Linked DNA regions of Notamacropus eugenii. Each later gene encodes a partner of the first gene's protein in a complex. Links are inferred from orthologs where the notes say so. Each region holds a gene or a part of one and is shown in the gene's direction. Other genes may lie near its edges.

What was found.
Region 2: the proteins of PTPN22 (region 1) and PSTPIP1 are in contact, whole or in part, in a crystal structure (PDB 7AAM), measured with the Homo sapiens proteins. The link is inferred for Notamacropus eugenii from reciprocal best matches to the Homo sapiens genes PTPN22 and PSTPIP1. Residues at the interface, in NP_057051.4 of Homo sapiens: Ser793, Lys794, Pro795, Gly797, Pro798, Arg799, Asn800, Pro801, Pro802, Trp805, Asn806; in NP_003969.2 of Homo sapiens: Thr225, Arg228, Asn229, Trp232, Asn236, Ser239, Met240, Cys242, Val243, Asp246.
Region 3: the proteins of PTPN22 (region 1) and CSK are in contact, whole or in part, in an NMR structure (PDB 1JEG), measured with the Mus musculus proteins. The link is inferred for Notamacropus eugenii from reciprocal best matches to the Homo sapiens genes PTPN22 and CSK. Residues at the interface, in NP_033005.1 of Mus musculus: Pro614, Pro615, Leu616, Pro617, Glu618, Arg619, Thr620, Glu622, Ser623, Phe624, Ile625, Val626, Val627; in NP_001291690.1 of Mus musculus: Phe20, Thr23, Gln26, Ala40, Val41, Thr42, Lys43, Asp44, Asn46, Trp47, Ile59, Pro61, Asn63, Tyr64.

Annotation. Positions count from the first base shown.
Region 1 is NC_092873.1:292,913,650-292,920,564, reverse strand, and holds the start of PTPN22 (tyrosine-protein phosphatase non-receptor type 22), read left to right. Parts: upstream 1-3,910; 5' UTR 3,911-4,047; coding exon 4,048-4,134; intron 4,135-6,915. UniProt on the Homo sapiens protein: Acts as a negative regulator of T-cell receptor (TCR) signaling by direct dephosphorylation of the Src family kinases LCK and FYN, ITAMs of the TCRz/CD3 complex, as well as ZAP70, VAV, VCP and other key signaling molecules.
Region 2 is NC_092872.1:256,746,914-256,754,847, forward strand, and holds the start of PSTPIP1 (proline-serine-threonine phosphatase-interacting protein 1), read left to right. Parts: upstream 1-4,924; 5' UTR 4,925-5,090; coding exon 5,091-5,123; intron 5,124-7,934. UniProt on the Homo sapiens protein: Involved in regulation of the actin cytoskeleton. May regulate WAS actin-bundling activity. Bridges the interaction between ABL1 and PTPN18 leading to ABL1 dephosphorylation.
Region 3 is NC_092872.1:241,312,086-241,319,997, reverse strand, and holds the start of CSK (tyrosine-protein kinase CSK), read left to right. Parts: upstream 1-4,902; 5' UTR 4,903-5,491; intron 5,492-7,694; 5' UTR 7,695-7,894; intron 7,895-7,912. UniProt on the Homo sapiens protein: Non-receptor tyrosine-protein kinase that plays an important role in the regulation of cell growth, differentiation, migration and immune response.

The DNA of each region.
Region 1 (6,915 bases):
AGGGAAGTTTTCACTCTGGGACTTCTTTTAATCATCCCTTTTGCGTTGTGAGGGCCTGGGCTAAAATTCTGCCTCTGATGTTTACTCCCTGTAGAGCCCTGGGCAAGTCCTTGATCTGAACCTTAGTTTCCTCATCTGTAAAATGAGGGCTTTAGGATTCAACATCCAGAAAGCAAGGGCCAGAAAGGAAGGAATATTGCCATACCCTGACTATGAAAGTAAAGTCCAGAGGTAGTTCACCTACCTTGTGGCTCCAGTATGTTTCTTTAAATCTTTGGCTAGCTGCTGATATTTTGGAACTGCAAGTATTCCGGGTTATTTATCTGGCCTAAGAGTCTCCAATGATACTGCATCTAACTCAAAGTGTTCACGACATCCATTACCACCTCCACAGGACTCTCTCATAGCACATGTTACTGGAAGAATTTTTATTTTCTTATTTGAGACTCAGGGTCATTGCTACTGCAGTTTTTAGTTAACAAAAAGTCTGTTTTAATATTAACCTGAACAAAAGCTGTCCCACAAGATGTAAAACTTTACTTAAGAGATTTAAGAACTCTTTAAAGAAGAAACCAAAGGGAGAATCTCAATTATCCCTGACTCCTTGGTGACATATAAATCCTCCTCAATCAGCCTATTTGTGAACCCTCTAAATATAGTTTAATCTGTAACCTTTCTAATACCTAAGTTTACCTATAGAGTTGTGTTTTTTTAAAACAAGCTCTGCTTCCTTAGTTGATGTATGAATTTATGACTGTTTAACTACATTTGTTCAACTTTTATGACATTGAAAGAAGCATGGGATTATGGACCTACCTTCTCCTTAACTTTTATGACCAAAGAGGATTATACAAGATTACAATATGTAAAAGAATTACTTGTCTATGACTGATGTAATTCTGCCCACGTGAAGCCTTGTCAGAATGCTCATGATGGTTCAGATTTTCTCTGAGATGTGAATACCTCTATATTTTCCACATTGTGGTAATTATATAATTGGCAGCAGTTGCTCACCACCTGAACTCGGAAAGGAGATATTTCTCTCATAACACGTGCATAGACCACCTCCAGGCCTCTCTCCATGGCCAATGTTTTTGGTAAAACTGTGACATTCTGCTGTTGCTATCCCCACTCCTACACACAGGGAAAAGCACACACACAGTCCATCACTTAACACAATTATGTGATATGTAGTAAGTGCTTAATAAATGTTTAAGCACTTGACTTGTTGACAGCACATGTGAGAGCATGTGCATGTGTGCATGTGGGTGCAAACACACACATACACATACACATGCACATGCATGAGCTGTTCAGAACAAGTAATTTAGTGACTTGTTCCCTCCACTGCTCTCTTCCTTCTGACTAGAGACACCTGGAGTGAGCCCATCAGGCTCATAGAAGGACAATTCTTTCTCCTCTGCTCCCTAGAGTTGCTCTTTCAGGTTTTTTCTTTCTGCAGCTCACATTGGGTGAGCTACAGGATATGTGCTCACAATATACTCACAATGCGAGGTTCCAGACAGGTGTTTGAACATTCTTGAGGCTCACATTAGTTGTGGGCACTTAGGACACTTGGCCAGGCCTACTTAAATGTTTGGTCACCAATTCTAAACTTCTTTTAGGTATATTTCCACCTTCTTTGCATATATTTTCCCTTAGCTGTTCTTGATCACTGCACAGGATGCAAATGAGTCAACATCATCCCCACCGTAAAGTACTGCCATTCAGATGAATTTGAGGGAAACTTGCAAAGACTAAATGTCAATTTGGCTTTGGTTCGTTACAAATAGAAGCTTCAAAAAGAAGAGGAGAGTTTGTTTTTTCCGTTTCCTTTGGGCTCCCTTGAATGGTCTGCTCAGAAGATAGCCATGTACACGTTTGTGGTTAGGTTTGGTTTGGTTTTTTTTTTAATGGGGTTTCTAATATCTTTCAGTTTTAGATCAGAACAAACTCCTTAGAACTGCAGCTTAACAGAGGACAAAGAATTACAGTTCTCCTAGGACCCTGTTTTCAGATCTTTGGATTCAGAATAGGAAATTTATAAAGCACTCATATCTTCTCGTTTTCTTCCCCTCCATCCAATTACACACATTAAGAGGCAAAAGAATATAGTGAGAAATTGAACTTCAATAGGTCTTTAGGCTGAATAAAAAAATCCTAGCAGATAGCAGAGTTAAAGGCTGGAAGGAACCATAGTTGGTTACCTAGTCCAACCCCTCTCCTTTTACAGATAAGAAAACTGAGGCCCAGGGAAGTTAAGTAGGTTACCCAAAGTCACAGAGAGAAAGAGCAAGTGTTCAAATTCAGGCCTAAGGCTTTTTTCCATTTCATCCTGCCCCAGGTATCTTTGCTTGGATTATTGTTTCTAATAGAAGCAGATCTGTGCTGAGGGTTCTCATGAATGTGACATGGTATTAGCATTCTCCCTGTCTGACCAATTTCCTGTATTCTCTTGGTTAAATTTGGAGAAATTATCATCTTTTGGAACTGTATTTTACTATTCTGAAGAGAAGGAATTTCATTTGGAAAGTCTCTATCTCTAGATATAGAAATGAAGCAAGGATATTTTGTCTTCTCTCTTGAGATTTCTAGGACATTACTGTGGAGTGTGGTGTGTTTTTTAAAAAAGCATGGCCTGTGGATCATGAACTCCCCCTTAATCATTAAATGGAGCTCATTTGAGAAGTACCAACCTTTCCTGCATCAACACTGCTGCTAAAGATTTACATGGGTCCTCTTATCTTATCTTGTTGAGGTTGGCATTGTGCATTCAGAATGGAAGTCATAAATTACCTGCATGCATTTTCTAAAATTGTGTTTTCCTTATGGGTGCATCTCAGGACAGGGTTTCCTCTCTGCCGCTTAGTAACTGAAAGTAGCCTAAGAAACTCTACAGTTACGGTATTCTGAAGGAGCTGGAGCCTGTGTTGCAAAATAGATAGTGCTACCAAAACCTAAAATAACAGAAGTTATAGCCATGTGAAGTTTCTAAGCTTATTCACAGTCTTTCCTGGGAGCTGTTCATGATCTTTTATGAATTTTTACCAAGTACCTGCTGTGGGATAGGAATTCAAAGGGCAACTGAGATGCTTCTGCTCCTGTGCTGTACCGAGGTGAATGAGGTAGATTTAAGGAATTTATTGGACTTTAATTCTGGAGTCACTCACTGGGTGCTCCATGTGGTCATTTCACCCATCCAGCACGTGGGAGCTGGGCTGGATGAGGAGGCAAGACCATCACTATCTTTGTGACCAGGATCCTCCAGTACCCCAGAAAAGGTCTCTGGATTGGAACCCAGCAAGCCTTCCTTCATTTCCCCAATATGGCAGGAAGTAGAGAAGGTGCTCAGACATAAGCTTCTTAAAACAGGAGAGACTAGGAAATCAGTACTTCAGGCAGGGCATGGTAAGTGAGAACTTTGAATAAAAAAAGGGCCTACTCAGGTCTGAAGGACAGAGGGATATTTTTTACTAGTCACTAATGGCAGGAAGGAAATGGTAGGACTGTCCTTGCTGTTAATCAGTCCTTGGTCAATTCTAATGGTGTCTAGCTACATTCCTAGGCCAAAATTTAACTTTTTTAGAGTTCATCCCCAGGTGTGAGAAAACAATCGGTTTATTAAGAGCTTTCTAAATTTGTGGCAATGAAGGGAAGCCTCAGCACTGTACAGTTTAAGCTTCTCCATGGGAAATAGGAAGAGCAAAGGTATACTTGGCTTAAAGGGTGGTGTGGTGAAGGCATCTGGAGCAGAGGGGTAAGCAGACCACATGTTTTATTCTGGTTAGTCTCCTGTTTGTCAAAAACTCTCATATAACTAGGTTCCCTTGTTGGGAAGGGAGGTGCTAGGGCCTGGGTGGGAGGGGATGGCTTTGTTGTGTGACCACAGAAGCTGTTACGCACTAATTTCCTCTAGGGCTTGTGATGAAGTCAGTAAACCACAGTGTTTAGCAGGCACTGCTCTTACAGTGGTGTCTCGACCATGACACACATTTGACATGCCCTTTCCTAGCCCCCTGACAGACTGGGGTGCTCCTGCTTTGCACCATGGACCAAAGAGAAATCCTACAGAAGTACCTGGACAAGGCCAGAAACAAGAAACTCATTGGGGAAGAGTGTGCTAGCGAGTTTCTGGTGAGTCTGATGCAGACACCTCAGTGTGCATGGGGTCTCTTAGACAAATAATAAAATAGTTCAACTGTCTAAGAACTGTGGTATCAGAGATTTAGAGCTGGAAGAGACTTTAGTGGTAGTCTAGTCTACCTGTGGGGTCCAGGCATTAAAAGAAGGTAGACTCTCAAGAAAGAGCAAGTTAAAAATTTAGCTCCTTTGGGCTGCTTGTATGTTCTTTAGATATCTCCTCTAGGATTCTTGCTTCTCGAATTTTGTGTGCTATTTCTTTGAGCTAAACAGAGGAAATAAACCATTACAAGTCTTGTAAATAATAGTATGACTTGGATAGGCAGAGTTCTCTGGACAGCTAAGCTGAGGCTTATATCTTAGAGTCTCAGAGGTAGTTGATATTAAGGGGTCAGAGGCCAGAACTAATTCCTCTAAGTATCAACACTGATGACTTGGCCACCTCTTTGCTCTTGGAATTCCATCAAAGGCTACTGAACATCAGAAAAATTACCTATAGCAACATTTTCTTCCATGTCCATAAACATTTTATTTTAAAATGACTGAAAATTCATTTGGGTTGACCTAAAAGAACAGCATCTTGTATTTCTTTTGCTTGGGGCAGTTAGGGGTTGGGGTGTCAGGGAAAAGATTGAGGATGGTTATCAGGACCAAATCAGTTCTGTAAACCTAGAGTTGTCAGACAACTCATCTGTGAAAGCTTGTGAATGGTGATTTGATATCTGAGCCCTCTGTCTACTCACTTGATGCTTTGCAAGTAAGGGAATGAGGGAGAGAATCCGTGGTTCGCCAAACCTTTTAGGCTTAGCTCCTCAGTCTGCGAGTTGAGATTCCATCCCACAACCTCAGGAAAACTTGTAGATGCGGTGGTAGCTTAAAGGGAAATGACCTGACTTTGCGGGTCCCTTTGGGATGGAACTGCTGGAGGAAGGAGGCAATGGGGAAGTTTGGGAACATGTGTCTCTTAGACATGTGCTTTCTCACCCTGTGTCTCCTAAGAGGAATAAACTCCCTGACATGAAGGAAAAACTGAGCTCGGAGGCAATGCCACCCCCTGGTTTTAAGGCCTTGTTTTTGGGTGGTGATTAAGTGGAACCCCACTGTTCACTGACTCATCTTCTCCAGTGGAAAAACAGAGCAGCTGGCCTTATCCTGGGCTGTACCATCTGAAGGTAGTAGGCATGAGAAGTGGGGGATAGTGTAGAGGTGCCAAGGGGGAAAGTGGATCATTTCTAAGAAGTGATGTCCTTTCCATAGGGGCACATTCCACCCTTCTCTGTGATATTTATTCTCTCAAGGGTGACTAATTTGATAGTTGTGAACTTTAGTACCTGTAGTGAACTTCAATGTTCATATTGAATGCCTTTCTTTATAACTTCAACACTTAGCGCAGGGCTTGGCACACAGTAAAGACCTGATAATTGCTTGTCTATACAAGTTCGTCTATACAGTTAGGGTTCTCCTTAGAAATTCTTGAACTGGTGGTACAATTGTTTTATTGACCATGTCCTCTAGCCTCCAAACATTCATACATACACACACACACACACACACACACATACACACACTGTCACACACATACACACTCACACATCCAAACATACTCACACTCATACTCAAACATCCATACACATACACACACTCATGCCCATCCATGCAACCTGTGTGCACACACAAACACACACACACATACTTTATCTGTAGCCATTACTGAATCCCACTTCAGCTAATAGCAGAACTAAGTACAACAGAGGACTTAACCTTTGGCAAAGTCTACACTTGGTACAGTCTCTACACAGCTCTTGCTACAGTAGAGAGTGGGGCTGACTGCTCAAGCCATTCCATATGCAACCTTCATTACATCATAGAGAGTATCTAGAGTCAGATGTCTTAGTGGTCAGTTGAGTCAGGAATAGACTAATGACTCTCAAACTTTTGCTGAATACTATTTGTCAGGGCAAGATATCCTAGAGACTATCTTTCTCACCTGTTCAGGCCTGCCACTATCAATAATTCCCCTAAAGCAGGGGTGGGGAATCTACAGCCTCAAGGCCACATGTGGCCCTAGTCTAGGCCCTCAAATTTCACATTATTAAGGGAAGTTCTATGAAGTTTGGATTCGGTCAAAGGGCCACACTTGAGAACCTAGAGGGTCACATGTGGCCTCGAGACCACAGGTTCCCGATCCCTGTCCTAAAGAAACGCCTTTTGGTCCTTTCCACTCTTGTTCCTTGATTTGCCCTTTTATGTTACAGAGAGAAAGGGTCAGTGGAGAGATAGCAAGAGCAGGAGATGGGAATATAGTTGGAGAGGCCCAGAGGAGAGGAACGAAGAATGAGGGACATGTAGCATGTTAGATCAGCATGCCCTGTCTGGTATTGTTCAGAAGTTATCATATAATGGGAAATCTGGGAGCATGTAGAATGACTTTGACAGTCAGTCCTACAGAATTCAAAACAAGTCCTAAACCTCTCATTTCCTGGAATTTCTCCCTTTAAGAACCTGGAGGTAGCTTCCTCACCTTAGTCCAGGGCAGAGAGGATTTGCCTGTGTCATTTCTGTTCTAGGCTAGTGTTGCCACTAGAATGGAAACTTGGCCCAGGGCTTTTACATTCTAACAAGTGAGATTCCATCAGCAAAGCTTGGGTTGTGTCCAAATGTACAGCACAGTACCATCTTTACTGTTTTTTTCCTGTACTAGTTGAGAAACTCAGGTGAAGACTACCGCACTTGGCCATGTAATACTTTCTCAGCATTTCCAGAGATGAATACTAA
Region 2 (7,934 bases), on another chromosome or scaffold:
TCTTTGGGATGTGCCCAGAGAGGTAACCTACTAATGTGGAAAGATTGCTGGACTGAGTCAGGAGATCTAGCTGTGTCCTGGCTTTGGTGCCTACTGGCTATATAACCACAGGCAAGTTACATAACTCTGATCAGCTCAGTTTCTCACTTTACACATCCCAGGGTATTTCTGAAGAAAGTACTTTGTAGGACTCCAAATGTTATCTATCTATCATCTATCTATCCCTCCCTCCTTCCCACCCTCCCTTCATCCATCCATCCATCTATCTGTCTGACTATCTAATCATCTCTTTATCTGTCTGTCTATCTACCCATCAATCTATCAATAAATCTTTCTTCCTATCTGTCTATTTATCTATCCGTCTATTTATGTGTTTGTCTGTTTATCTTTTTATGTATCTGTCTGCCTGACCATTTATTTGTTTACCTACCTACCAACCTATCCACTCATCTACTTGCCTAACTATCTATATATCATCTATCTATCCACCCATTAATCCAGCTATCATTTATCTCTCTATCTCATCTATGTATTTACCCATCCACCTACCTATCAACACACATACATGTATCTGTCTCACTTCTCTGTTTCTATCTCCATATCAACTCTCCATCTCTATTTCAGTTTCTATCTCTCTATCATCTCCATCGCTTTCTCTATCATTTTGATCATCTCTGTCTTCTCAAGTTCTACTTACATTACCACTTACTGAATTCTATTTCTCTCCACATATAAGCTCTGGGATAGCATGAGACAAGCTCTTGACCAGAGAACTACAAATGCCCACATCCACCCTAGTGATGATGCAAAGGAAGAAGTCCCACAACCAAGCACTGTGGTTGCTGGAGCTGCCTCACCCCTTTGAGTTCCAATTCAACAAACATTCATTAAACACCTACTGTGTGCAAGTGGATTAAATAAAGTAATAAAAATGTCCTTATTCTCAAGGACTACGTTCAGCTGGCCCCTCCCTCACACTTCCAAAATCACAGAATATTAGAGCTGGAAAGGACCTTTGAGGTTATCTAATCTAAATCCTTCATTGGGGGGGAAAGAAAAAGAGGGGGGTAAGGAAAGAAAGAGAGAGAGGGAGGAAGAGAGGGAGGGAGGGAGAGAGAGAGACAGAGAGAGAGAGAGAGAGAGAGAGAGAGAGAGAGAGAGAGACAGAGACAGAGACAGAGACAGAGACAGAGACAGAGAAAGAGAAAGAGAAAGAGAAAGAGAGACAGAGACAGAGACAGAGACAGAGACAGAGACAGAGACAGAGAGCGAGCCATAATAGGAATTTCTGCATCAGGAATAAGAGGTACATGAGATGTACTCATTTGAGGGGGAGAGGAAGACATCATTCCTTGGAGAGGGGAGACAGATTTCTTCAGGACCCCATCATGAGATCATTCCTGGGAGTGTGTCAGCACGGTAACAGAGGAGATTGCTCCAGCTTGCCATCTGGTAGTTTCCTATTTTAAAGAAATTTTCTTACTGTGCTGGGCACAGTACTTTATTGTTTCTATGCTGCCCAAGGATGTCAACACCTTTTGTATTAGGTGCCCTGAGACAAAGCCCTGACCACCCCCCTCTAGTTAATGCTATGGCTAGAGGAGCAAAAATGATTTGGCCAAACGCTCACCTCTAATAGATGCCAGAACCTTATCTCAGATCCAAGTCTTTTTCATGCTAAGTCCAGCACTTTTTCCAATACACCATTTTCCCCCTGACTGTACTCTCACCAAATTCTTTTCTCATCAGCACTTACAAACCGGACAAGATGTAACAGCCTCCTCCCCCTTTCTGACTCCCTTAAATATCCAGGGAGAACCGCCAGTACTCCCTGCTGCCACTTTTCTCCAGATGTTTTTGAGTTCCTTCCTTGGACTTGAGGAGTCCAAGTTGCTGTCTGCTCTCCTGATTCTCCATCTTGTGATAATAATCACAATTAATACTGATATGGAACTTACTATGTGTCAGGTACTGTGCTAAGCACTTTACAATCATGATCTTCTTTGACTCTCACAACAACCCTGGGAGGTAGCTGCTGTCATGATTCCCATTTTGCAGATGAAGGAACTGAGGCAGACAGGGTTAAATGACTTGCCCAGGGTCATACCGTAAGTGTCAGAGTCTAGATTTGAATTCAAGATGAGTCTTCCTGACTTTAGGCCTGGCGCTCTAATAGGGGAGACTGGGCTGTGGGTCAGGAACAGGGTGAGGGAGAAAGTGGCACTTGGATCGTATCTTGAAGGAAATCAGGGATTCGAGGGGCTGAGGTAAAGGGGGAGAAACATAAAAAAGGTGGGTGACCATGGTACCGTCACAGGAGGGAGGAACAAAAGGAGAAGGACAGTAGGGGCTCCCTGCTGATCTGCTGCCAGACCTATGCCCTGTGCCCATGCTCCATGGGTAGTCTGGATGTCTGGGAACACACTGTGGGGTATAGTAGTAGACATGAATTTGGTGTCAAAGACCCCAGTCTGAGGAGGCTCGAAGGCTATGATCTTGTCTGCGGAATGGCAGGAAGAGCACTGGCTATAAAGGTTTATAACCTCTCTCAATAGAAAGGCAAGGCTGCACAGGGGACAGAAGGCTGACTTTGAAGCTCAGAAGGCCTGGGCTCAAATCCTGCATCTGACCCATGTTGGCTGTAGGTCCTCAGCAGTTATACGCTCATGAACAGAGAGAATATCTTCACTGGAATCTCCCTCTACAAGTGGTCTCCAAAGTGGGGGCCCCTGAGAAGCTGTAGCTCGACCCCAGTCAGATGGTGGGAAGATATCTTCTGTTGTATCCTCCCAATTCTGGGCCTTGTCTCTCTCAGGCTATGTCCCCACCTCGGACCATGCTGTGGGGCGGGGGGGCGGGGGGGTAGGGGGTGGGGAAAGCGGTGGCCCTCAGAGACTATCACTTCAGAGCAGCTGCTTCCCCAACCCTCAGCATACCCCCATGACCTTGTGGCTCCAGTGGGGTTGATTGTGCTGGATCTTCACTCTTTATGGTGGCTAGGGAGCAAGGGGCCCTTGACCAGGCCCCTTTAGAAAGCCGAGGATAGAATGAGTCACGCAGGACCAGTGAGCCCAGAGACCAGATCTCAGTCTGTTATCTTTCCTCCCAACCCACTTTTCTTCCAGACGTCCCTAGGGCTTCTAACAACACATGCATCTTTCTGGCTGCCCAGCTTTGCCCCTCACTCACCCCTGACATTCACCTGCAGAATATCCCCTTCTCTCCACCCCCACAGCCACCACCCTGGTGAAGGCCCTTATCACCTCTCCTCTGGACTATTGGAATAACCTGGTTGGTTTCCTGCCTCAAGCCTCCAATATGCTCCACTTCCATCTTCTGATCAGCTGCCAAAGGGATTTTCCTAAAGTGTGGGTCTGGTCATGTTATTCTGTTCAAGAGTAGAAGTTGCTCCCCAGTTGCTGCAGTTTGTCCTTCGTTCTCGAAGATGACCATGACATTGCAGAGGTGATGCCATGACATGCAAGTGGACTGGATTTAAGTGAGGCAGGGCTATGCAGAGTCACCAATCTCACTTTCTCCTCTAGTCAGCCTTGAGGATCCCCACTCCACCTTCTACTTGGGAGAGAGTGGAAGTATAAACCTGGTTTATATTGTGAGACTCCGAGGTCATGCTTTACTGGGGAGGGACAAGTCAGGATGTCCAAGGGCTTTTAATCTGAAGGTTCAGAAAAGCAGTATGGTCTGGGTCAGAGGTCACAGGCTTTGCAGTATTTGAGAGTCACTGAGGTGGGGCAGTGGATACAAGTATGAAAGTCTGAAGTTGGGGAAGACCTGAGTTCAAATCCAGACTTAATTACTTAGTAGTGGTGTGATTCTGGGTAAATCACTTAACTTCTCTGTGCCTCAGTTTCCTCATCTGTAAAATGGGAATAACAATAAATAATAATGGCACCTACTTCCCAGGGTGGTTGTTGTAAGGATAAAAATGACATAATGTTGGTAAAGTGCTTTGTAAACCTTAAAACTTTGTGTAAATGCTAGTTATTGGTGCTCTTGTTTGGGTCTAATTCCTGGGTTTGGGTTTACCAGTTGTGTTGCCTCAGGCAAATTATTTCCCCTCTCTGTAGGCCTCAGTGTCCTGTCTATAAAACGAGAGGGGTGACCATATGTCTTCTGCCTGGAAATGACACCTCCCAGACTTGTGATCCTGTGATCGATCCCCTCTCTCTCAAATGCCTTCCCTTCCTCCATGGGAGCCATTTCTCCTTCGTGACCCCACAAGGAATCCCCAAGATGGGCTGTTTCTGCCCCCGCTGCTGTCCGTGGGTGAGAGATGCACTGAAGATGCTAGCAGCCCTCAAGAGAGGCCTGGTCTGCCCCTTCAGCCCCAGGACCTCCCTGAAGCCAAGTGGAGAAAGGCAGAGACAGCGGTTGAACACAATGATTTCCTTGATTCAGTTGGGGGCCCTCGAAGGAAACTTACTTGCATAGGGCATCTGAGAAGCCACATTTCCTGTGTGGGGATGCTCACCATTGCAAAAGAAGGCATGGTGTCAAGATGTCATGACAGCACTGTTCCTGCAGAGGCCCAGGCCTGGGGGCTAGGGCTGGCGGCAGGGGGAGGGAGGGAGGACACCCTTCCTGCCGGTTCCTGTCTTCTTTTCTGCTTTCTGTTTCTGACTGTTGGCCCTCCCTTTGAAGGGAAGAAGGCTGCCCTCTGGGCTGGGCTTGAGAGACCATCACTTTGAAAAGAGATTCTGTAGGTACTGGGAGCTCTTCTGCAGGTCCAGCCAAGGGCAGGCCCAGGGCTTACATCACGGAGCAGCTTCTACTTCCTTATTTCAGTGGCTTCTGGACTTCTCACCAAAAAAAAAAAAAAAAATCAAAACAGGTTCAGCCCCCTTTTTTTAAACTTCAGTCCTCATTGGGTTTCCATCAACAGCTCAGAGAGAGAGAGAGAGAGAGAGAGAGAGAGAGAAAGAGAGAGAAGCAGACAGAAACACCTCAAGTGACTGGAGGGGTGAATCTCTTCCCCCCTTGGCTAGTGGGGTGAGTCAGAGGCCCGACTGGGACCTCTTCAGGCTGCTGTGCCGGCTCCAGAGAGACCTGGGCTAGAACCAGGCTGCACCATGACCCAGCTGCAGTTCAAAGATGCTTTTTGGGTGAGTGAGCGGCTTTCTCTTCCCCCAGACGGTCTGGCTGTCACCTCCCCTCTACCTCCCCAAGTTTTCCAGCTGAATAGATGTCGCTGTGTTTGGTTGACGTTTGTTAAGTGAAGAAAATGAAGGAAAAGGGCCCCCTTGGAAGTGACCTTCCCCTCCCCCCAGCTTCCTCTTGCTTCTGCCACAGTGAGAGTTCTGTTTATCCCTCTTGGTGAAGAGAGGGCTGAGGATGTATGAAAGTCTGGACTGGCCATTTTTTCCCCTTAAATGTCAAACGCTTGGTTCTATTTTCTGTTCCCTACCTTAGTCTTCAGCTTGCTCCTGGCCTGCATCCAGGGCATCCAGGTGGCATGGGACTTTCTCTCTCTCTCTCTCTCTCTCTCTCTCTCTCTCTCTTTCTCTCTCAGACCCGCCCCACCAGTGTTCCCTCCTCCCCTTGGTGGAACAGATTCTCCAGGACACTAGATTCCCTCTGGGCTCTTTGGGCCAGGTACTGAGAGGAGAAAGCCCCCTGGCAACTGACAGGCCTTGGCTTCTCGTGGGCTGTGACCCATATATGGAGGAAGATGTCCTGCCTGCCAGGCAGCTTCTGGTTCAAATGTGATACATGTTGTAGGAAAGGTCAGAGAGCCACTTGTGCTCAGAGAAATTATCAGGGTTTTTGCCCAATAGGAAGGAAGGAAATAAGCAAAATTAAGCACCTACCACAAGAGCCTTTGGAGGGAGGTGCTATTAGTACCCCCGTTTTATAGTTGAGGAAATGGAGGCAAACCAAGGTTCAGTGACTTGTCCAGGGTCACACAGCTGGGAAGTGTCTGAGGCTGGATTTGAGCTCAGGTCTTTCTGACTCGAAGTCTCAGCCTTTGGTCTGACTGAAGATTAGTGTGTGGCTCGTTCCACAGGTGAGGGTGAGGATCATAGAATCAAAAGGTGGAAGGGACCTTGGTAATCATCCTTATTTTACAGGAGAGCCACTGTCTGTAGTGTTTTGGCTTTGGGGTCAGGATGACCTGAGTTCGATGCTCGTCAGTTTGGTGGCCTGAGTTGTGACAATCTCTCTGAGCCTGTTTCCTCAGCTCTTTCAATGGGATAAGAGCATTTACCTCATAATGCTTAGCACGGTGCTTGGCGCACAGTAGGCACTTAATAATGCTGGTTGGCTGAATGACACCATAGGTTTGTTTCAAGGCTCAGATGAGATGATATGAGTAGAGGGCCACGCAAACCATCAGATTCTGTGTGATACATTTTACATCAATATGTGTGTCATCGGTTCATAGGTTGGGAGCTGGAAGGGGACCCGAGGCAATCTGTCTAGCCTGCTCATTTTACAGATAAGACAACCAAGACACAGAAAAGTGAAGTGCTGCACAGACTGAGTGCTGAGAGTTTAAAGTGTAACCTTGGCCTCTGATTTGAAATCCAGTTGACTTTGCACTGCATTGTAGGAGCTGAGGACAGGACACCTTTTCCCCCAAGATAGGCATTGCCAGGTCCTCTGGTCCATCTGGAGCCTGAATGGGAATCACCTCTGTGGCATCCTAGGCAGGGGAGTATCTAGCCTCTGCCAGAAGACCTCCAGCAATGTTGGGGAGTTCATTACTTATGAGATGGCATGTTCTATTTTGGGGAGACCTGTCATCATCAAGAAGTTTTCCCTTGTACTTCAAGTCCACAAGTATTTATTGCCTATTATGTGCCATACAGTCAACAAATTTAAGTGCCTACTGTGTTCCAGTCAGTCACTCATCAAGCATTTAAGTGCCTCCTATGTGCCAGCCAGTCAATAAGTATTGAAGTTCTTATTACGTACCAGTCAATTCGATATCAAGCATTTAAGTGCCTACTATGCGCCACCTAGTCAATTAGCATTTAAGCACCCACTATGCACCAACCAGTCACTTATCAATCATTTAAATGTCTACTATGTGTCAGCCAGTCAATAGACATTTATTGGACACCTACTATGTACGAGGTACTGTGCAGAGTGCTGGGGATACAAAAAAAGACCAAAGAGAGCCCCTGCCCTCAAGGAATTCACAGTCTAATGGAGAAGACAACAAGGCAACAGCAACATTCAACCTAGCCATAGATAGGGTAAAACAGAGGAGATCTGAGGGGGTCACTCTGCAGGTAGTTCAACTGCTTCTGTATACCTTCCCCCAGACTGGGTCAGGCAGATCTGGTCTCTGACATGGAGGCCCTTCAGTTCTCTGAAGACAATGACTACTCCCTCCTAAGCCCTCTCTTCTCCAGTTCAGAACGTGCCACTTCCTCTGCCCAGTGTTGGTATGGCGTGGCTTCCAGGCCTCTCTCACTGCCCCTTTTGTCCTCCTCTGACCCTTGCTGACTTGACACCCAGAATGGAGCCTACTATGCAGGCGAGGTCTGACTGGGGAAGTGGGATTATTATCCAATAGCCTGAGATGATGTGAGCTTTGGGGATGCTGGTTCATGCCATGGGCTCACCCTGCACCTGTGGTCCACCAGAAATAGAGCCCCAGAATCTCAGAGTTGGGCAAGGCCTCAGGAGTCCATTCATCCATCTTGACCTAAACAAGAATTCCCCTTGATGTCAAATCAGCCATCTCTCCTTTGCTGGGGGAAGGGGAAGCCCCCTCCCTCTGGAGAGAACCCATCCCACTTTGAATGTTTATCATTGTTTGAGTGGTATTATGGAATAGTAGAGAGAGCACTGGACTTGTTATAAGGACCTGGATTCAAATCCTGCCTCAGACACTGGTTCTTTGTCCTTGCTAAAAGGCTGCACTGTACCTCAGTTTCCTCATCTGAAAAACTGAGGGTGAGGGT
Region 3 (7,912 bases), on another chromosome or scaffold:
ACACACACACACACACACTCATATTCATTCTCTCCTTTTCTCTCTCTCTCTCTCACACTCACACACATATTCATTCTCTCCCTTTGTCTCTCTCTCTCTCTCTCTCTCTCCTCCTCTCTCTCTCTGTCCCTTTCTCTCTCTCTCTCTGAGATCCAGTGACAGTGGCCTCCTTTTTGGTCCAGAACAAGACATTCCATCTCCCAACAATCTATGTCTCCTAGCTTCTTTTAAGTACCAGATAAAAATCCCACTTTCCACAGGAAGACTTTTCAGACTTCTCCTCTCCCTTTAATCCAGGGCCTTCCCTGTCGATAATATCCAATTTGTCCTTGAGAGCAGACACTGTCTTTTACCTTTCTTTGTCTCTCCAGTGCTTAGCATGGTGCCTGGTGATTAGTAGGCACTTAATAAATCTGGAAAGTACAAAAAAGACCTGTATGAACTGAGACACAGAGTGAGCGACAACCATGAAAGCCCTAAAAACTGTGAACACCACAACGATCGACCACGTTTCAGGAGACCAACCAAGCTACCACCTTTGGAGGGCATGGGAGTGGGGAATGGATTCTGGTCGCAAATGGCAACATCTATTTTTTGGACAAAGTAGGAATTTCTTTTGCTTGATTACGCACATCTGTGACAAAAGTTTTGCCTTTGTTTTCTGTCAGGGAGGAGTGGATTTTTGTTCATTAAAAGTTTTCAATAAAAAATAGAAAAATAAAGTGTGACACACCATGTACATCTGAAATCAGTCAGCAAGGCTTTATTAAGGACTTCCCATGTGCTTGGCCCTGGGGAGACAAATGTCAAGAATGAACGAGCCCCCAAACAGAAAATGAAAAAACGAAAAAGAGATGGAAAAGGCACTGCCATTATAACAAGGCAGGAGGATAAGAAATAGTTCACATTCATATAGCCAACATTTATATGGTACTTCCTTTATAGCAACACCATGAGGAAAGCAGCAGCATTACCTTCAATTTCCAGAAAGGGAAACTGAGCCACAGAAAGGTTAAAGTGACTCACCCAGGGTCACACAGTGTTGAAAACCGTCCTCTAACTCTGCTCTGACTCATTATTATTTTCTGACAAATTAGCATCAGCTCGGGTGCCCAGTGGCTACTTTGTGGAAGAGGGACAGGGACAGTGAGCCAGGGAATATAAACTAGGCACAGTGCTGGGCCCTCCCTGGATTGGCCAAGGCTAGTTTTGTTTGGAGCCCAGGAGAGGGGAGAATTCAGAACTCTTTTTCCCCCCAAAATTTATTAATTTATTTGTTTTCAGTTTTCAACATTCATTTCCATAAGTTTAAAATTTTTCTCCCCCTCCCTCCCCAAGACAGCATGCAATCATATATGGGCTCTACACATACGTTCCCATTAAACACATTTTCACATTAGTCATGTTGCATAAAAGAATTATAGCTAATGGGAGAAACCATTAGCTATAATTCTTCTATGAGAATTCAGTACTCTTGAAGGACATTTGTCTATCATCTTCCATATCTATTCCTTTCACCTAGTATTTAGAGTGTTTCACTCTTCTCTTCTCCCTCCATTTCTCTCCCCCTCCCTCCCTTTTCCTTTCCTCTCCCCCCTCTCTCTACCCCTTTCTTTTCCCCTTCCCCTCCCCCAATATCGGTTGGTAGTCTCTCTCAGACTAGGTCTTCCCCCATCAATCCCAGGGCCTCAGTGCTAACCCCACCGTAAGGAATCCAGGAGACAGGTGGCTTTGGTGAATATTCTTTCCTCCTGTTACTCAGAATCCTTTGCTGAGGAAATGCAAGGATTCCTTGGGGTCCAGTTTCCTGCTTCACTTCTACTTTAAAGATCGAAATTTCAGTTCAACTGCTGATAACCAGGTTACTAGAGAGCTGCTTGACCTTGAGCAATTCATTTGGGAACTCCTCATCTCCAAAATGCAGGATTAAAAGACCTCTGAGGCTCAGTGGGGTACAGCACAATGTTGTGGCTCTGTTCCTTACTACCTGGGTAATTTGAGGAAAGTCATAATCTCCCAGCCTCAGTTTCCCCAGCTGTAAGTAAAGGAGTTGTGCTTCTAAGGGTCTTTGGAACTGTAGCTCTATGATTCTATCCTGGTTCTAATTCTCATCCCACAGACTAAGAAATGCTGAAGGGGTTGATTGTGGGAAAAGTCTAAGAAGCCCTGATGTAGATCCTATTCTGGGATGTTGCTGGGAATACCAAGGAAATGTCAGAAGACTCACTACCTGTTGTTGGGATTGCTGTTGGGGTTTTTGAAGGCCTTTATGGTTATTTAACTTTGCTTTCATTGATTATCTTCATATTTATCCTATATATACAGGTAGATACAGATTTGTATATGTATAAACACATACTTGTTTTCTCTCCAATTAGAATGTGGAAGGTACTTGAAAGAAGGGATGGTTTCATCCTTTGTCTTTCTATCCCCAACACCCTAACACAGTGCCAGGCACATCGGGTACCCTTAATAAAGACTTGTTCACTGACTAGTACAAAGCACTGTGCTCAGTGCTGGCAAAATAAAGATGAAAAATGATCCCAACAAATTCAGAGTTTGTAATCTATGAAATGCACCAGGTAGGTAAAGGAGAATAACACAAAGACAGAATGTGAATGGCACAGGGCAGCTAAGTGGCCCAGTGGGTAGTTGAGTCAGGAGGACCCAAGTTCAAATCCAGCCTCAGACACTTGACACTTATTAGCTGTGTGACCCTGGGCAAGTCACTTAACTCCAATTGCCTCCCTACCCTGACCCTGCCAAAAGAAAACAACAGAAAGTGAGTGGGACCAAGGCAAAATTCAGACCAAGTGCTTTAGGAAAATCTGAAGTTTGAGATCACCTTTAGTTGAGGGGAAATACAGAAGGGCCTCCTGGCAGAGGAAGCCCCTGAGCTGAGCCTTGAAGAAAGAGGCAGGGAGGTTCCAATTAGCCTGCACTAAATCAGGAAACAGCAGGACCAAAATCAGAGCTAATCATCAGTTTGTTGAGAAAGGAGAATGTGTGAAAGAGAATATTGAGAAAATCAGTCTAGAAAGGTAGGATGGAAACAGGAGACTGTGGTGACAAAGAGCCAAAGGTTTTAGAAAAAGGGAGTAACTCCTCAAATCTACATAAAAGGATGGTTACTATGACAACAGTTTGAAGGGCAGGGTTGATGTCCATCTTGACTCCTGGAGTCTCTAAGCTGTCATTATTTTAAAACTTTTTTTGAGCCAATTGGGGTTAAGTGACTTGGCCAGGGTCACACAGCTGGTAAGTTTGAGTCCTCCTGACTCCAAGGCCAATGCTCTATCCACTGGGTCACCTAGCTGTCCCAAGATGTCTTCTTAAGAGCAGGCAGGGAAAAAGTCTTCTAGATCAGGGCTTCTTAAACTTTTTCCACTCTTGACCCCTTCAGCATTTCTTAAACTGTGGGTCGAGAAAATGGTAGGGCTACCTTCCTCCAGACTATGGGGGAGAAAGGAGAAGACCCCTTTTCTCTCCATAAAGTCTGGTGACCCTACAGCTTATTAAAGGCCAGGGAACCCATCCCTCCAAGAACCCTTAAGTTTATTTACACTGGGTGTAAATAAATCCTCCTCCAAACATATTGTACCATTCCTGTTCACTCTGACCTTTCTAGGGATCCAGGGTATCTAGTTCTTTGTGGCTACCCCTGGCTTCCTTCAAGTCTCAACTAAAGTCCTACCTTCAGCAAGAAGCCTCTCTTAAGGATCCTCAATCTTTGCACAATCCCTTCCATGATTATGGCCAACTTATCCTGTCTAGTCTGTTACAAGTGTGTGAATCTCCTTTCCCCCAAGTGAACCAGAGAATCTTAGGGTGTGGAGGTTTGGGAGTCATCTAGAGAAATTCACCCCTGAAGGAGAATCTTTTCTAGGACATACTGGACAAATGGTCAGCCAGCCTCTGCTTGAAGACACCCCAGTGAGGGGAAATCAACTGCCCTCTCCCCAAGGCTGCCCATTTTGCTTCTTAATTGCTCTAATCGTTGGGGAGAAGCTTCTCTTCTTTCTAACAACTCCTCATTGCTCCTGGTTTGGGCACAAAGCTAGTGTCCCTTCCACCGGACCACCCACCACAGACCGCTTAGTTTGGCAGTGAAGCCTGTGAGTCCCTTGAAAGAAGGAGCTGTCTTCTACCTTCCTTTACCCTGCCAGGCTTAGCACGGTACTGGCACACAGCAGACACACACACACTCGAACTCACTCTCACACACACAGCACGCACACACTCACACTCACATACACAGCACACACACACACTCACAGCGCACGCACACACACACAGACACACACACACACACACAGAGCACGCGCGTGCACACACACTCACACACACACACACACACACACACACACACACACACACACACACACACTCGGTTACACCAGTAAGGGCTCTGACCATGTACACTTGACCTCTAGACCTTGATCCTCGGGCTATTCCAGTCCTGTCCCGGGGTGCCGTCAGGCCGTGCGCTCGCACTGATCACAAAGTGACGAAGAGCTCCCCGCCCTGCCCCCGGCCGGCCCGGAGTTCTGAGGGAGCCGTCTGGACTGCGCCCACCGGTGCCCACTCACCACTTTGCAGGCGAAGGGCGGCGAGCGGGTCACTGTCTCGGGCTTCCAACTCCGCGCCCACCTGCCGGGATGAGCGACCCCCGACTTCAGGCGTCCGGCTGCCATTGGGTCGGCGGCCAAGATGTGAGGCTCGGGACGCGGGGACCTGGACACACCCCCATGCGATGCCCGTGGCCTCCAGTAGGTGGCGCAGCCTCCCCGCTCGCGCCCGGTCCGCGAGCGGGTCCAGCCCATTTGGCGCAGGCGCGCTGCTACAGGCGGATGGATCCAGGCTCCGCTTCCTCCGGCCAGGCCTGCGAGCTTCCTTCCAGCTGAGCCGGAGAGGGCCTGGGGAGGGGGCGGCCCCCGCAGCAGAGGACGCGCGCGCGCGCCGCCAGTCTTCCCCCCCCTCCCCGCCCCGCCCCGCCCCGCCCCTCCCGCCGCGCTCCCGGGGTGGGGGCAGCCGCCGCCGGCCTCCAGTCCGGCCGGGAGCCGTCGGGTCCGTTCCTCCGTCCAGCCCGCTTCCAGCCCGGGCCGCCGGTGCCGGGGGGGCTGGGACGCCGGGGCCCGCCCCGCTCCAGAGCCAAACGTCGCGTGTCTGGGCTGCCCAGGCGGCCCGCGCTACGTCCCCACCTCAAGGCTCGGCGGCGGCGTTCGGAAGCGGAACTCTCCCGGGGCCGCGGCGGCTACATTGTTTCCTCCTCCCTCCCCGACCCGGGCCGAGCGGTGCTCCCCGGCCCAGCCTCTCGCTGCCCTCTTCCCGCTCCTTCTCTCCTCCCCCCTCCCCCCGCTCCTTTGGACCCCTCCCACCAGGGCGCCCCCCCGCCCCCCGCCTCCACCCAGCCCCCGGCCACATGGACTGTCCCGCAGCCCACTGATGTCGCCGGCGGCTAAGTGGATCGGACCGCAGCGCTCGGAGAGAGGTGAGTGAGTGCCCGGCGTTCGGGGCCCTGGCCGCGGCGGCCCGAGCTGGGTGGAGATCGCCAGCCCCGGAACCTACTGGTCCTTGGCCGGCTCCCGCCCTCCCCGCGGCCGCTCCCCTCCCCCACCCGAGCTCCGACGGGTTTGAATTCTCCCGGGAGTTGCTGTCACGGTGTAGACCCGGGCAATAAGCCGTCCTCCGAGATGGGTCCCGGGCCCGTGGGGCAGGCGAGCCCAGTGCCAAGTTGGTGGGTCCTCACCGCCCCGGGGCCTACCGGGGGGTTCGAGTGGGGTCTGCGTGGGGGACTGGAAAAAACTCCACTCCTTAAGAGGTTCTGACTAAATCCTCGCCAGCCCTTTATCTTCCTCCACCCAAGAGCTCGGAGCCTCAGTCCCGGCTTTGGAGGGGCAAGGATGGGGCGGGGACCCAGGATAATGCCAGCCTTCCCTTAGTGGGACTGTGCAGGACGGGCATGTGGCTGATGGAGGAGGAATTAAGCTTCCAACATGGGGTGGGGTCAGACTGGACCAAGGTGGGGGTGTGTGGAAAGAGAAGCCATTTCATTGTCTCTGGGGGTTTGCCAGCACTGCCCCAAGCTCTATCTTCTCCTCCCCTTCCATTCTCCCCCCCACCCCACCCCCATTCCCACCCTCTACGCTGTAACCGTGCAACCTGCTGACGGAGCCTGAAGCCTGACAACAGGGCTGCTCACGCCGGCCTGTGCACAATGCTCCTGGTTCCCCAACCCATGCTTTAGGACTCAGGCTCAGACACCCGACTTTGGGCTACTTGTACCCAGGACAGGATTTCGGAGGATTAGTTTCCTCGATTTGACTCCCACTGAAGAGGTTGAAATACCCTCTCTGGATGGGACTGCTCCTTCTAGCCCGCCATCCCCAGATTGCATCCTTGGGTAGCCAGGGAGAGCAGCCTTGGAAACAAAGCCCCCTGTACCACCTAGAGGGAGCTGGTCTTGCACATGTGAATTGCATCTTTCCCCTTCCCCGCCCCACTCTGCCTGGACACCTAGGCCTGTGTTAGACATCCAGGATTGGAGTCATCGAATTAAGGCAAAAGGAACCTAGAGAACATTTAGACCAATCTCTTTTATTTTACTTTGGGGCAAAGTGAGGCATGGAAAAGAAAAGGGGTTTGCCCAAAGTTAGGGTCATAGAATTTAAAACTGGAAACAAGTTTATTTAGAGGTAGTCTAGTCCTTGTTCCTCATTTTACAGATGAGGAAACCGAGGCCCAGAAGTGACTCGGCCATAGTCACACATTAAATTACTTCCTGACACTGGGAGAGGTGGAGCAACTAATAGAAACCAAAACTGTTCCTTGAGCAGGCGGTAGCCAAGACAGACTGAGCCAGGCCCTGAGAGGCTTAACATGTGCTCAGCTGGGCTGCAGATCTAGGCATCTGGAGAAGAGAGGTTTGGAGAAAGTACCCAGCTGGCAGGTTTATGGCTCAGAGTGGGGTACTGGCCCTGGGGCATCCCTCCCCCAGGCTTGCTTCCTCTTATTGGGGTCCTGGGCTCTGAAGTCTCAGCTGCTTTGGGGACTCAGACCTTGTCTTTCTATCTTCAAAGCAACCATCCTGTCAGCTATGATTAAAATTTAATGTGTGGAGTGGGGAGTGATTAGAGCTTTTGATTTTTTTTTTTTTTTGGAGGGAGGTGGTAACTACTGAGGTAACTTGGTGTCCTTGGCTTTCCTTGGAGAGAGCTTTGCCCATATGAGTTACCCATAGACCTGGTTGTGCTGGGTAAGAATTCTTCATGTTCAGGGATACAGAAGGTAACTAGCAGAACAGGAAGGGTGATGTGGCTAACTAGGGACTCATATGTTCAGAAGCCCCACATTTCATCTTCCTCCTTTCTCTTTGATTTGGGATGGTAAGGGGAGCCAGGAAACTTGGCAGGGAACGGGGGGAGATCCTAACTTTCTAGCTGAATGTCATCTTTATGCCTGATTGGTCACTAAGGTGGCTTCTACCCCCAGAGGCATACTGCCTTGTACCATTGCCATGACCACCTCAGAGTACCTGAATTCCAGGGTCTGATAGCAGAGTCAGAGAAACACTTGGAAATTTCCTTGGCAAGGAAACTGTCTCTAAGGAGAGAATTGGGGTAGTGGGGGGGAAAGGGATGTGGGGCACCTATCTCTTAAAAGCTTTTTGACCTCATCTCTGGTGTGTGTCGCAGGAAGAAGAAACATTATTGAGGCATAGTTTAGAGGTGTCCAGACTCGGTTCCTTTAGCACAGAGCCAAGGGTCAGCCTTTGCCTTCCTTGGAGGCTGATTCCCACGAGCTGGTTCCAGCCACACTTTCTCCCTCAAAGGAGAGTTGGGGAGAGTCCAGTATCCAAGCTCAAAGTCATTTAAATCCCTCACTCCCAGTTCTTGTGAGTATTCCGTATGAC